Linked DNA regions of Alligator mississippiensis. The protein of the gene in region 1 purifies or fractionates together with the protein of each later gene. This does not show direct contact. Links are inferred from orthologs where the notes say so. Each region holds a gene or a part of one and is shown on either strand. Other genes may lie near its edges.

Region 1 (7,946 bases):
ACAAAGCAAACCATAACTAATACCCAATTAAAATTATAAGGGAAATCTGCACTGGCAGATCATGAATACCCAAATGGAAATGAGTTAGAACACAGAGGCCAATAGTCTTCCTTCCCTTTCTTTTTATGACAAATGCCATGGGTCTTACACATGTTCACCTTTTGCTATTCCCAATGGGGTCTCATCTCCCAAACTGGAACTTTTTACATCTCACTGTCCCCCATTCATCTGTAAAACCACTTAATGATTCTTACCTCAAAACTCTCTAAGGCAAGAAAACAAAGTAATAATAACTGAAATCTTGGAATCCTTACTTTTAAATGACCTAAAACATTACTCTCTAACTAGTGGCTCTCAAGATCATTCCTGATAGAAGTGTGCAGGGACAAAGTACTATAAAGGACAGAAAAATAAATGCTTTCAGGAAACAGTGTACCTTTACAAGCACTGGTCTCGGGGTGCTAGCCAAAAAGCTCTATTAATCTAACTGAAGTACAGAAGTCTCTTTTTCTCCCATCATAAAAAAAAAAAAACCCAAGGAAAAACAATTACACAAAAGCCAATGCACACTGACTTGCTGACTCTCCTCTCCTCTCCCTGTCCACTTTTCTTACTGTTTCTTTTACCAACCTCTTCCTCTGCATTATGACAGCTATACAAGTATATATATAAGTGAACAGAAAGAAAGGGAGATGACGGGACTGATACAGATTTCTACTCGAATACTTTTCTCTTTCTGCTTACAAATAACTTTCAGAACCAAGACTACCCCACACAGAAACTAACAAAAACATGTTTTATTATTAAAAGAACAGATGACACCTTTTTATTTGTTTGTCTTATTTGTTTTAAGCTCTCCTTTACCTGTCTTTACAAATGCACTGATAAATTCCTGTGCAACCAATTCATGAAGGGGTAAATTCTTCACCAGGTAGTACTCTCCCATATCTGTGGTAACACTTTTCAGAGGTTCTGGAAGCACGCCACATTCAGGAATCAAAAATGACACCTGTTAGGACCATATTTGTAATACACATTAGATGTTACACTCATACATAAGGAAAGGTCTAAAACAGGGCTGGAGGAGAAAGAGAGAGAAAACACAGAGTTCTTGTATCTGGGTGGTTCCCTAATGTGCCAAATTTTCAAAACCTCATTCAGCATATCATATGTAGCATTGCAACATGATTTGTGTGTCAGAAACTTTGAAACACTGCAACCTGCAGGCCAAAAATGGATTAAGCTTAGTTATAAATTACAGAAAGACTTTCCCTGAGGAACTGCATATTTCTTGAGGATGTTTCTCCAAAATGCTTATAAAACATTAAATGAAACAATATGCATACCAATCAATCCTGGAATCAGTGGAGAAAACATCAGTGGACATCCACTTTGCAACAGATAGCAAACATGGAAGCTGGGATAGCGTGTAGCACTACACAGAAGTAAAAACAGCTTTCTCAATTGGGGGAGGAGGGAAAACCGGAGTCGAGAAGCAGAAAATAAAGAAGATACCTGAATTTAAACTACAGAAATGTGCACTTTTCATATTGTGGGCAGTGTAATCAAGACTGATGCAGTGCACCCAAGCAAGGTTAGGCAAATCAACTGCAATATCTTGAACTTGTCATACTTGCTAGTGTTTAAAGAAAAAAAACTTCAAAGAAATAAAGCATCTGTGTTTTAATCTCCCATTTTATTATGTGAATGCCATATTCACAAGGCTACAGCAACCACCACAGGCATGGTTTCAATACTAACTCCACACAGTGACTTCAGAGTATATAAAGAATTATTGTGGTGATAATATGGACAACCTGTTGCTCCATTTCACACAGGAATTAACTCAAAACAGGTGGCAGCAGTGGTGATTTAATTCATGTCAGAGCAGGGACAAAACAACGTAAAAACCAAGTGACAGGCACATTACATCCAACAAATAAAAACAAGCTCTAACATAATTGCTCCAAACAGAATAAGAAAAAACATATAGAAATGCTTTAAGTCAATTATATCAGCAATAGTTTCCCATTAATTTCCTTGAGCCACTGGTATCACAGCCTAAGACTGGGAAAATCTTATTTCCTAGCTGGACAATCAAATTCAAAGTCTCGGCTGCTTTAAAGGAGCAATGACATTTTTGTCACCCACTTGCAGGTGCTTGCCCGCCAAGCAGTGCTAATGCTGTGCCGCCCCCTAAAACGGCCCCAGGGGCCCTGGCTGAGACTCTCTGTGCCCCTGCTGCCCTGTTACAACCGGGCAGGGAGGGCGATTGCTTTGCTCTGGGCTAGAAACCCTGTGCTGAGTTTGGGTTGGGTTTGGTTTTTTGGCTCGTCTCCCAGCTCTGCCGCAGGCTTGGACCTTGATGAGCCTCAGTCTTCCTACCTGTAAAATGGGGAGAGGGCCAAGTGCGCAAGCAAAAGCTCTGGGCAGGACAGCCCAGCCTGGGCATTAAGGGCACCCAGGAAGAGAGGGACAGGAACCCTTCCTGGGGTTTAATGACAACAATGCGTTGCTCTCCCTCAGCAAGAGCAGACAGGCAGTGTGAGCTGGTGACCACACAACCTTGTGCCTCAGTTTTCCCATCTGTAAAATGGGGAGAGGCTGGGTGAGCACCCAGCCCAAAGCTCAGGGCACTGTCTCATCCTGAGCATTAAGGGCATCCCTGCACCTAACCGGTGGGGGTCCCTCGGGTTTAATGTGTGATTGATCAATTAATTAATAGTTTAATTGCTCTCCCTAACGAGTCCCAGGCGAGCCGGGAGCGACGTCACGCCGCGAAGCCCCGCCCCCCGGGCGCACTCACGCGGCAGTTGTAGGCGTGGCCCCGCACGCGCGCCGCGTGGCGAGAGCGCTCGTGCCGCACGTGGCTCCTCTCGCAGACCAGCAGGTGCCGCGGGGTCTCGCGGAGCCTCCGCAGCGGCGCCGACATGCTGCAGCCAGCGCGGAACCCCCAGCCGGCAATCAGGAGCCGGGCCGAGCCGCGTCACCAAACCGGGGCTGGCGGAAGAAGCTCGTGAAGTCACTTCCGGCGGCTTTCCTCCGCCTCCCTGCAGCTACTTCCGGGGCCGGCTTTTGCAGGGTGGAAGGCGCCTGAGGGGTGTGCGCATGCTCAGTGCTGCCTGGGGAAGGTGTTGCCCTCAGTCTGCCTTCATCTCATGTTAAGAGGCAGAGGAGAAGCAGGAAGGGTGGAGTGCTGCTGCTTATGGTCAGCTGGTGACTGCCTGCTAGGAACCTCATGTAGAGGTTGTCCTGCACCGTTTAAACATTATTTGTGTGTTGTCCCCCTCCACACCGCTAAGTATTAGTTCCTCCTGGTTTGCAGAATTGTCAGGGGCAAACACTGAGGCATCATCATTTGGGCAAGAAAAGCTTCTACAATCTAATGGATTTGTCTAAATTAATTATTTTCCAAATCTTGGCTGTGAGCTTGGCCCCAAGCATTGTTTTTGTTACTGATGAGATTAGAAATCTCCTTTTAAGAAGAAGAAGAAAAAAAAGCTGTTTTTCATGTAATCACTAGACTCCAGGAGCTGGGGACTTGGAAAAAGGATGCAAGAGCTGTGATAAAACCACAAGCCTTGATGAAGCTGAGGAGATACTTTCAAATCCTCATCTGTCTCCAGGAGCTGAGGAAGTAAAACAAAATGTTCTCAAGTCGGAAGAAAATCACTAGAGAAGCTAGCAACACGGAAACTGCAGCCTGCTAAACAGTTAATTCATCACCTGTCCCACTCGAGAGTTAAGGCTATTTTGTGGGGGGTGGAATGAGATCTTCTATTGGACCAACTGCATGGTTGGAAGAGATTTTGGATGAGTGTTCAAACACAAGGTTTTGGGCAATGGAGAGTTAAACTTTTTAAAAATGTATGTATCATGGTACTTAAAGGAACTTTGTGTCATCAGTGTGAGGGAAAGAGAAGTTAATCTCCTAGCCAAATGCAAAACAGTGTCAGAAAAACGTGGGTGAGACTGGTGTACGAAGTGTAGAACTCCTTCCATGATCAATACCATGGTTAGGCCTAGTTTTTTGTTGCTTTGCCTATATGCTATGTTTACACTAGAACATTTTATTTACAGACAAACAATGTGAGTTCACTGTGGATAGATAATATTATCAAATAATTGATTTTGCATTTGCTGTAGTCCTTTCACACCATGCACATTATTAGTAGAAGTATTTCTAGCATGGTTCCTACACCATCACATGGGAAATTCCTCACCCTCATCACAAACACACACTCGCACTCAATGAGCACCGATAATGGTACAAGCTGTAGGAAATTCCATCATTTTCTTTCTCACACGCTTTGACAACATTACATCTCATAGGAAACCCCTAGGCACACTGGTAATCATCTCATCCACAGAAAGCTGTGTTGCTAATACATCCTACAAGATTCATTCATCGCTCTTAAATGTAGATACTTCTCTTTCTACATTGATAGTGGCAGGACATCAGTGTAGGATGTCAGCTGTTACCTTTCCTGCCAGTAAGTACAGTAATATAATATCCCCTAATCCAGCCACTTCAGGCAGGCACTAATAATGAATGAGCCATCCTTCATGTACTCTCATGCCTTGTATTCTAGACAGCAATTAAGAAATGGTAATTGACGTCTTCCACTCAAGATTCCTCCTATGAACCAGAAAAAATGACTGGAACAATTAGGAAGCATGTTTTCTCCTTGCTATTTCAGGAGCCCTGCTGAGAAGAGTCAGAATCCTGAGAGAGATGGTCCTTGGAAATATTGAGCAAATGAGGGATGTGTTGAAGCATGTAGACATCTTGACTGTGTGAAGCGAAAATGGATGTGTTAGGGCCCTGCTAGAGGTGTAAAGACTCAACCCACAAGATGTCAAACGTGCTGGAGGCAGTTTACCAACCTGCCCCTTTGGCAGACAACTCATAATCCTACACAGGAAATAAATATCTGGACCTTGGAAAACTGTGAAGTGTGTTGAGAACTTGTAAGACAGGCCAGTACATAGATTCTGCTCAGGTGTTATCACAATCTCGTGGGAATTTTTGGGACTCTTTGAGCTATCTATGAATTTGGGCTCATTGAGACTCTGTGAGTATTCCTCATATGCATCCAGTTTGACAGGATTTAAAAAATGTTGCATTTCTATTTTACTGGGCTTGCAAGATAGAAATGCTGAATCGTAAGTAGGCTTGAGCCTTGACATCAGTCTAAGCCATATCTGATGAGTTAGAGGCTTCATAGAGACCCTAGCCTTCACATTAGTCTGAGATAGTTACCCCACAAAGACGTAGTAGTATAGGAAGGCATGATTATGACTTTTCTAAGATTGTTTAAAGATGACGGATGTGTAAATTGCCTTTTCCTTTTCTACTTACTCTTCCTCCTTCCTTAGCCATCATCTCTTTGTTTTCTGTCATTCTGGTTGCTCTTTCAGCTTAGACTAGTACAAACTACCTGAAGTGACCATAATCACAGCTACCAAGTCAACTCATCTTCAAATGTCTCCCAGAGTTTTTCAATACATAAATAATAGAAGCTGTAAATGCTGAGTCTGAAAGAAGACAGGTTTTATAATAGTCCATCAACAATTGCTCCAGGAATAACCAAGAGCTTGTGTAAGATTGCTACCTTAGCAATGTTAGTATATCAAGTTAAAGTTAAGCCACAGTACTGTGAAGGTCATGGCACAGCATCTAACTTTTATTATCTCATGTCAGCACGTAGGACTATGTGAGAATGATTGCTTACTTCTCTAATTGGGTGGCTGCCAAGAAAAAAAGTCCTGTTGGTTGCTGCACTGTTTTTAAGAGACAGGATACAATTAGGTCATTTCCAAATGGATCTAAAGTGTCAGACCTCTGTTATTTCACTAGCTCACCTGATATATAGTTTGCTGGACTAATGTCAGAGCTCAAGTCTGACTTCATTAGCTCACTCACCAAGTGATAGCTTGAACTGATGTAAATATTTTGGGTTCCTGTAAATTGACTAGCTCAACACCTCCAGCTTGCTGGACTAAGGACGAACCGTGAGCTTCTGGGAGCTGACCATCTATACCACTGTAGTGTGCTGGGCTGGTATCCAGGCACAAAACTCGATTAGGATCAGCTCTCTCAATGGCTCTAGCCTGCTGGTATCATGCCATAGATGCCTGTATGACATCCCTGGCTCAGCACTTTTGGCTTCCTGGACTGATATCAAGCCACAAACATATTTTGGGTAACTATCACAGAAGTTATAGCTCTTGAACTGATGTGAAGTTTTGCATCTCTTTAGATATACCTTCAACTCATGTCAAGGCTCATGCCTCCCTAAGGTTAGTAGCTCAGCATTTTACCTTGCCAAATCGATATCAAAGCTGAGGCCTCTGCGACATATATGTTTGTGCTCCATTGGTACAGTCTGTAGCTATATTATGATCTAGGCCTTGGTCTCTGATATTGCTGGCTCACGCCTATACTCTACTTGCTGATTTATTTGAAGAGGCTGGTTAATATGTGTCCTAGAAGAACCATAGATTACTGGTTTGATAGTAGGTGCAAGGCCATTATGAATTCACTAGCTCAGTACTGGCTTGCTTGGCTGATTCTAAGACTGATCTCTGTAAAGTGTCTGGCTTTATGAGTACACCTTTCTGCGGTGATGCCAACCACCGTCTGCTTGGAGCTCATTGGTTCAGCACTTCCAGTTTGCTAGATTTTTGTTAAGGTATAGGGTTTGGAAGTCACTGGCTCAGTGACCTTTTTAAAGGGTAGTTTAAATTCTACAAATAAGCCAACTGCATGTGTAATTACAAGGCTCCTAATTTGAAAATAATGTACCTGTTACATTTCATTTCCCTCTGGCTGATATTCACATGGTCATTTATAAAATATAAAAATTAGATGATTAGTGTCAACTAAATAAAGTATGCAGCTGCAAGATTCAACTATCAGCATATAGATACAGCATTTGCAGACCTTCAGGCAAAGCTTGTGTCAACAGATGAGCTTTGCACCGTTATTTGAACATGAGTCGACTTACGCTCTGTCACAACAGTGAAAAGTGTTCATTCATTTGCAGTGCAGCTCTTATCTTGTGGAGGGGTAATAATGAGAGGATTAGTGCTTTCTGCTGTTGCTAAATTAAGTTCAATGAAAAATAAAAGTGTTGGGCAGGGTCTGGACAAACACCATTTGGAGCTGTGTATCTGGCAGAGCCTAGCTGGGTTTTTTTAGGGATGGTGATCAGAGCATATTTTACTCCATTTCAGTAGAGTCCTGTAATTTTCATTGCTATATTCTTAGACTGATGCAACTGCCAAGCTATCACTGTTATCCCTCACTCGCACATTGATTGTCACCAGATTCAGTGATGTGTATTAAAAAAAACCTTTGCAATGTATACAATAGTCTTTAAAATGTCAGAGTATTCATGTTTAAATATAAGCTGTCTCAGGGCATGGTAACTGTTGTAAATGTTGACTTCCTTACAGTGACTACTATATTTCTGTGTTTAGCTAGGTGTGAGGTTTCTAAGTATTGTGACATTGGGCATTTTAAACATGAAATCATTTGTATTTCTCAGACCCTGGAAATTCACCGCAGTCTCGGTAGCTGTCTCCACTCAAAATCTGGGTAATTAGGTAATACAACAGTTTGGTTTTTATGTGTTTGAAAAAAATTATAGGTTGTCATCAAGAAGTAGCATTTTGAGGCAGAGTGTAGTAATGGCTTGGAGTTGGGTAGGATTTGTGAAATGTTTCCTGGCACTGGTGAAGAACTGACTCTGTTTTCTATAAAGATGACAGGATTTGGAATGAAATTCCTAGTCTTCACATTATCTGGAAAAGTTTCTTGTCAGAAGGCAACAGCTTCTTCCATATATTTTTTTCAGCTTTGAAACCAGATCTGGTTTGTCAAAGCTGAGGTGCAATGTAAAGCACAAAATGAACTTTTTAATGTCTTTGCATTCTGGTTT
Region 2 (6,262 bases), on another chromosome or scaffold:
ACACACACACACACACACTCCGGCTTCCCATATGGGACTCTTGCCCTATTTCCACATCTGTTAATCTGCCACTTGGGCTTTATCCAGTGGCTAGCAGGTTTAACCTTTTCCAATCAGTAATCACACATGCCACCCCTTTACTTTCCCACCCCTTGAGCATACCCCATCATACTCCTTTTTCCTTTTTAGTTTGCACTTTCCTTGGAGCAGGATACTTAGTCTTTACCTGGTACCTGAAGCTCAGTGTAAGGTGTTGTACCCACACCATTATGACCACCAACCCACTGCAACCATATGCCCAGGAGCTGTCCCCTGTACCTTGCTGCCTTTCCATTGGAGGGGTATCTCTGTCCACACCACACTCCCTGCAGCTTGGAAATGGCTCGCCCTCCTCCTGCTACTACCAAAGAGGCAGAGGAGTGTGTGTGGGAAGGGAAGGGGGAAAGATTACCCATGTCTATGAAAGAAGGTAAGCATGGGGACAGCCAAGACCACCAGGACTCATGACCAAGCTAGTTGCTGACTTCATTGTCCCTTTATTGATTACAAAGCATCTAAAAATCTGGAGTGTCTTCAATATAGAATCTCATTTCTATAGAAACTATGTATGGCTTAGGTTATTTCTCAGAGTGGGAGGTGGGGCAGTCAGTGAGGATAGTCCAGCATGTAGTCCATCATCCCTGAGCCCTTTTGACTCTCTGGTACCTGTACCTGCAACTTCTTGTTATTCAGTTCCTCCTGTGGAGATGTCAAAGGTCTCTTCATGCCCTTTGGGGAGGAAGTGGATATCTCATCCTCTATCTCCTCCTCTTCTGGCCAGAGCCCTTCCCTGGGCTCTGGGGGTTGGTAGCCCATTTCACTGGGATCCAGGGGGTCCTTGGAGAGCAGGATGCAGATGGAGGGCACATTCTTATGGACAGTCAGGGTCTCCACTTGGCCATTGGGCAGAGGGTCCTTGTTTTCCCAGACTTCCACCAGGGTCTTGTAGCGCACCTTGGTGACCTGGTGGAGACCCCCCAGCTTCCTTTTCATGATCTCCACACAAGTAATGGTCTTGGTGACCGCCCGGCCACAGCCACTGAAGACAATCTGCCGAGTGCCCTTCAGCTCCATCCTGGACATGGCAAACCCCATCAAGTTTCGGATCTTGCTGCCCTCCTTCACCTTCATTTCCACCACATCAGGGGCCAGGCCAGTAAAGGGCAGCGGGCTGTCTTCCTCTGATGTCTTCACCTTCCTGAAGTTCTCCATCCTGGACTGGGTGACAGGAGGCATGGGCTTGGATTCTGCCCCTTCAGCAGCCATCCTTCCCCAGGGAGAAAATGAGCAAGGTCAGGAACCTAAACCCCAATGTCCATTGCAAAGGCTCCCGGGGAAGTACCAGACTCCCTCAGCTGTGGGTCAGCAAGCAGAGGGGCAAGTTTAGTCCTGCTCCCCCATTATCCCACTTCTGCCGACTGGCTACTCACCCCTCTCGCTGGGCAGGTGAAGAAGGACTTTGGGTGAAGCCTGACCAGTCCCCTGTGGTGGCTGTGCTGGACAGTCAGTCCCCAGAAGAGACAGAGCTGCAGAATCCTCCCTGGGTGGGAATCCCTCACAGTGCCTGCACTTAGCAATGCCTGGGCTCCTCCGCTCCCACTGCAGCACTCCTTTCTGCTGCTCTGTGCTTCATTCTGGACTTCAGCAGCCCCCAGAGCTGTTTTGTGTAATTAGTAGATCCTCCCTCTTCTCCTCCTCCCCCGCTTTCCTCCTCCCTCACCCCACGCCCCTGCTCAGCCTCCCATCCCAGCACAGAGCTCTCTGCTTCATCCCCCCAACCCTACTTCCCTGGCTGGTAGGAGAGTCTGACTTTTCCCTAGTCCAAGAGAAGCTGGAAGGGGGGGGGAGGGGAGTGGAAGGGGGGCTGGAGGTGGGGGAGAAGGAAAGCTACTCTTTCTTCATGATGCTTCCAGAGTCCTGCCCCCTTAAAGAGAAACTGGCCCCTTCTCCTGGGTGATTTCTCCAGCTCAAGGACATTAACTGCTAAATGCAAATGTCAGCAAAGTACCGGCAGCTGCTTGCTCCTGCTTTTCCATGACTGGCTGAGTTAGCTCTGACACTGAGCATCCCCACCAGGGGACCAAGCTCCCTGCAGGCAGAGCAGGGCCCTTCATTAAGCTGATGTGTGCAGGCTGATTTATTGTTGTATTCATTGTAGTGTCCTTCAGGGCTTGGACACATGGCCCATTTGCATGGGTGCAATCAGCCCATGTACATGGGTGTCAGGAAGGAGCGGACACACAGCGTTCAGCCCTACACTGGAATGCCTGACTTGAAGCCCTTGTAGAATTACCCTGGGGGAAACATCAGAGTTAAAACGACACTGGGGTAAGTTACACTATGGGTCCAGAGCAATCCTGGGGTAGCTGCTTGATATAAGGCAAATCGTGTTCTCCTGCCACCTAGTGGTCAGGAACTGTAAGAGCATCAACTTCTGTTACCACTTACCCTGAGATAGCAGGTCGTCTGTCTGCTCCAGAGCCTGGGATCATTTATATCAGTACAAAACCAGTATATAGGATGGTGGTATATAGTGTGTCCAGACTCGTAGATCCCCTGTTCTCCTGAGTCACTAGGGAGACTCCTTGTGCAGGGAACCCCGGGACCCTCTCTGGATGGAAGTGTTGGGCCTGTTGTTGAGTGGACCCAGCTCCTAGATCCCACACACTTCAAAGCCCGCTGGGTCTGGGAAAAGCAGTTCCTCCTTCATCACCAGACACAGTGAGGGGTGGGCATATGTGAGGGCAGAGTGGCTGGAGAGGAGCCACATGTTGCTATGTGCTGAGAGCTCCAGATTGCCTCACTTCAGCTTTGCCAAGACCTGGTGCTCTGGGGCCCCTGAGAACTCCTCCCTGCCAAGCAGACTAAGTGTGGCAGGAAGAAAAGAAGGCAGCAGCCCAGCCCAGGCCCAGGCAGAGGGACCCCAGCAGCGGGAGACAGTGCCAGAGTGCCCCTGCTGCCATCCTGCCTTCCCAGAGAGAGAGAGAGAGGCATCCTCTGCTGTGGCCTTTAATGCAGCTGAGGAGGCCTTCTACTACCACTCCTAAGGGGAAAGAAGAGAGTCCTTTGGTCTATAGGACTGGAGACAGGCCCACTGCTACCACTACTCCCACTAGAGGGCAGGAGAATCCCTCAGTCCCTAGTGGGGAGTCTCCTGTGAGCCTCAGCCTTCAAATCTCAGGTTAGTCTCAAGCACATTTAAGGCCTCTGTGGTTCCCAGGCCCCCTCTTCAGCAGCAGGACTGGAAGGGGAGGGACTGGCCCACCCTAAGCCTCATTCACCCCATTAGTGGCAACCTAGACATTCAGAAACACTAAGGCAATGTGAAGAGAAGAGGAATGAACATGGAAATTGAACTCTTCTCCCATTCAGGGGAGGGGGAAGGAGAGAGGCTAATGGTCATGATGTAGGGTCTAGCATTAGACCAGAGGAGAAACCTTTCTTGCCCTCATGTCCTTATCCCTCTAGGGGAAGACAGTGCTTCCATGTGATGGCTGAAGTGTACCAGAGGAGAGGAATGAACCCATGTGTGACTGGATAAGGGCTCCTGAGGGGCAGGGGAGCCTTCTGGTCAGGTTACCCTTCCTCTGCTGAGACAGGGTGGTGCCTGAATCCCCTCCTTACTCTAGGTGAGGGGTGCCTCATCCCTGCACAGGGTGGTACTGGGTCCCAATCCCAGTCCATCAGCTGGGCAGTATGTGTGATCCCAGGAGCAGAGGAACACAAGGAGATGGGCAGGCACTGCCTCTGACAGTGATGATTCAGTCATCGCGGCTTTCTCATCAACTAGCAATTAAGGCCACAGGGCTGGATGCCTGGTGAGCGTTCTCACTCTGCTGCATAAAAGATGGAGTAAAGGAACTCAATAACTGTCATAAAGAAGGAAGAACAGTGGCTTCACCAGGCAGGCGAGGATCAATATCCAATTGGTGGTGACACAAGGCCCCCCGCCAGCACTGGCTGCAGCTACTGGCACCCATATGACTGATAGGCTGGGCCACAGACTTCCCCTTGCTGCTTTGCCCTTCCCTTGTCCTTTACCTCTTCCTTCAAGCTACCCCCTTCTCCTCTGTCTCCCTTTTAACTTTCCCTCCATTTTCTTCTTTTACCCTCCTCTTTACTTCTTTCCTATATAATTTGTTCTCCTCTTCCAATTTCTCCCCATGCTCCACTCCAGTGTGGGCTGTCAGTCCCAGCCTGGATCATTGCGAACAGGGGATGGAGTGAGTTCAATGTGAAATGCAAGCTGAGGATGCAGGGCATTCATCTTTTCACTCACTTTCTACCCATTTATCTTTCCTCTTTCACGTTCCTCCTTTTCTCTGTCACTCCATCAGAGCCTTTCCCTTGTTTCTCTTTCCCTCTGGTGCAGGGCAGTAAATCTCCCCCCTCAACGAATTAACCCTCCCTGAGTGTTCAGAGTGAATTATCGCCTCATCTATAATCATCCAGAGACAAAGATAGATGATTGTTTAGGAGAGAGAGACTGCTGGAGAGGGAGGGAGGCTGGGAGGGAAACAGCTCTAAAGACTTCATAGCTGCTGGGCCTATCTAGGGAAACATTTCAAGGGAAAGTCTTCTCCACAGAATCTCCTCTAGAAGATGCCGTGGTGACTAGACCTGGATAACTCCAGCTAGGCCAGGGCCAACTGCTCCTAGGGTTCCTCCCTCCCAACTGCGCAGTGCACACTCCACGTCCTCTCCTCAGAAGCCTTGTCTACATTACAGACTATTTATCACAAAGGCCTACTCTTGCCAACTCTAGTTCAGGTGCGCTGGCAGGCCCAGAGGGCTGCTTCTGCTCTGCCTGGATGGGAAGATGAGTCACCTGTCTCAGAAAATTTCCTTGAGCGCTTCTTGGAGGGAACTCTGTTGTTAAGTGAAGAGGAGTCTCCCTGAAGGAGCAGCTGTGATCCAGCTCCCATGTCATGTTTCTGTGGCCGCAGTGTGACATGCAGCAAGACACAGAGACTTTACGTTTGTTCTCTCTTCTCCTATTGTTTCCTTCCATTGACAATAAAAATCATTTGGACTGAAAGTGCAAGGTTGCTCTTCATGGCTCATAAAATATAACACGGACATCATCAAATGATGAAGATTTTGGCCTCACAAAACATTCAAGCTGAGATCAAAACCTCCTTCCAATCTCAACATAAAATCCTTGGACCAAGGGCCAGATTCACATAGGGATTTTGGCACCCAAAATTGTTAATAGGCATCTAGTAGGCTTAATAGCCATTCAAATAAATGGGGTTCAGGTGCCTGAAATATTGTAATGCTTTTTTAAATCCAATTAAATGCTTCTCTACATCTCTGAGAAGGGTCCTGGCAGGTTGGTGCAAGGGATGAGGCAAGGGGTAATGTGGCATCATATGATAATTACATTTAGGGGTCTGCTGCTTTCTTCAACTATCTGAATGCTTCAGTATGATGCATCATTCACTCCTGCATGCGGAGGGTGGGCCCAATGCAGTGAAAGACCAAGTTCTTGTCAGAGCCAGGCAAGAAACGAGGTGTAACTGAGGTCTCCAATAAATCACAATTTTCTCCCTGTATGAGCAGAACAGAGGGCCCTGGCCACCCAGTGAGGTGAGTAATTAGTCTGGCTGTGCTGTTGGTTAGTTAGCCAGCCAGATCCAGCCCAGGACCAGCTATCTCAGTGCTCCAAGTCAAGGTCAGGATCAATACCCTGCCGTGATTAAATAAAGCCCCAACAAAGGAGGTTGCCTGACGTACGTGTGTGTGTGTGTGTGTGTGTGTGTGTGTGTGTACTGGCCCATTTCCTATTGAAAGTCACAAGCAGCACCAGGTGTTAGGAAACCTAGCCCAATGCCTGGGTTACAGCCATCAAGTGATGAAGCATAGATTCCCCTGCAGCTTACCGCAGCTGGCATTAGCTCTTCAGGGCTTTGGGCAAAGTCTCAATGGAGAGATATCTTCACCACCGATCTAATTGTAAAGGACAATATTTGAACTGTTCTCCTTAACTAGTCTGGCAACTACTGCAAACACTTACGGTGAAGTTACATGGTACACTTAGACCATACTACATCTGTGGAATGGTAAGTGATGTTACTTACATGTGCTATGAGCAGTTACACATTAAGGGTTAACACTGTTTCTTGCCTGCACAGCCACTAGAGGGCTGGTGAACAGGGGCATTGTCCCTGCTTGTGGCAGGACCTGGGAGCAGGGCAACCTGGGATGCTGGAGAAGTGTAAAT

Evidence for each region. The genes of interacting proteins can lie anywhere in the genome.
Region 2: the proteins of RPP40 (region 1) and RPP25 purify together in Homo sapiens (affinity purification with mass spectrometry; 3 studies listed by BioGRID and IntAct, counting the BioPlex papers as one, with this or other methods). This does not show direct contact. The link is inferred for Alligator mississippiensis from reciprocal best matches to the Homo sapiens genes RPP40 and RPP25.

What each region holds. Positions count from the first base shown.
Region 1 is NC_081826.1:122,607,774-122,615,719, forward strand, and holds the start of RPP40 (ribonuclease P protein subunit p40), read right to left. Parts: upstream 3,021-7,946; 5' UTR 2,933-3,020; coding exon 2,807-2,932; intron 1,010-2,806; coding exon 865-1,009; intron 1-864. UniProt on the Homo sapiens protein: Component of ribonuclease P, a ribonucleoprotein complex that generates mature tRNA molecules by cleaving their 5'-ends. Also a component of the MRP ribonuclease complex, which cleaves pre-rRNA sequences.
Region 2 is NC_081834.1:27,514,651-27,520,912, forward strand, and holds RPP25 (ribonuclease P protein subunit p25), read right to left. Parts: upstream 1,840-6,262; 5' UTR 1,470-1,839; intron 1,307-1,469; 5' UTR 1,306-1,306; coding exon 646-1,305; 3' UTR 514-645; downstream 1-513. UniProt on the Homo sapiens protein: Component of ribonuclease P, a ribonucleoprotein complex that generates mature tRNA molecules by cleaving their 5'-ends. Also a component of the MRP ribonuclease complex, which cleaves pre-rRNA sequences.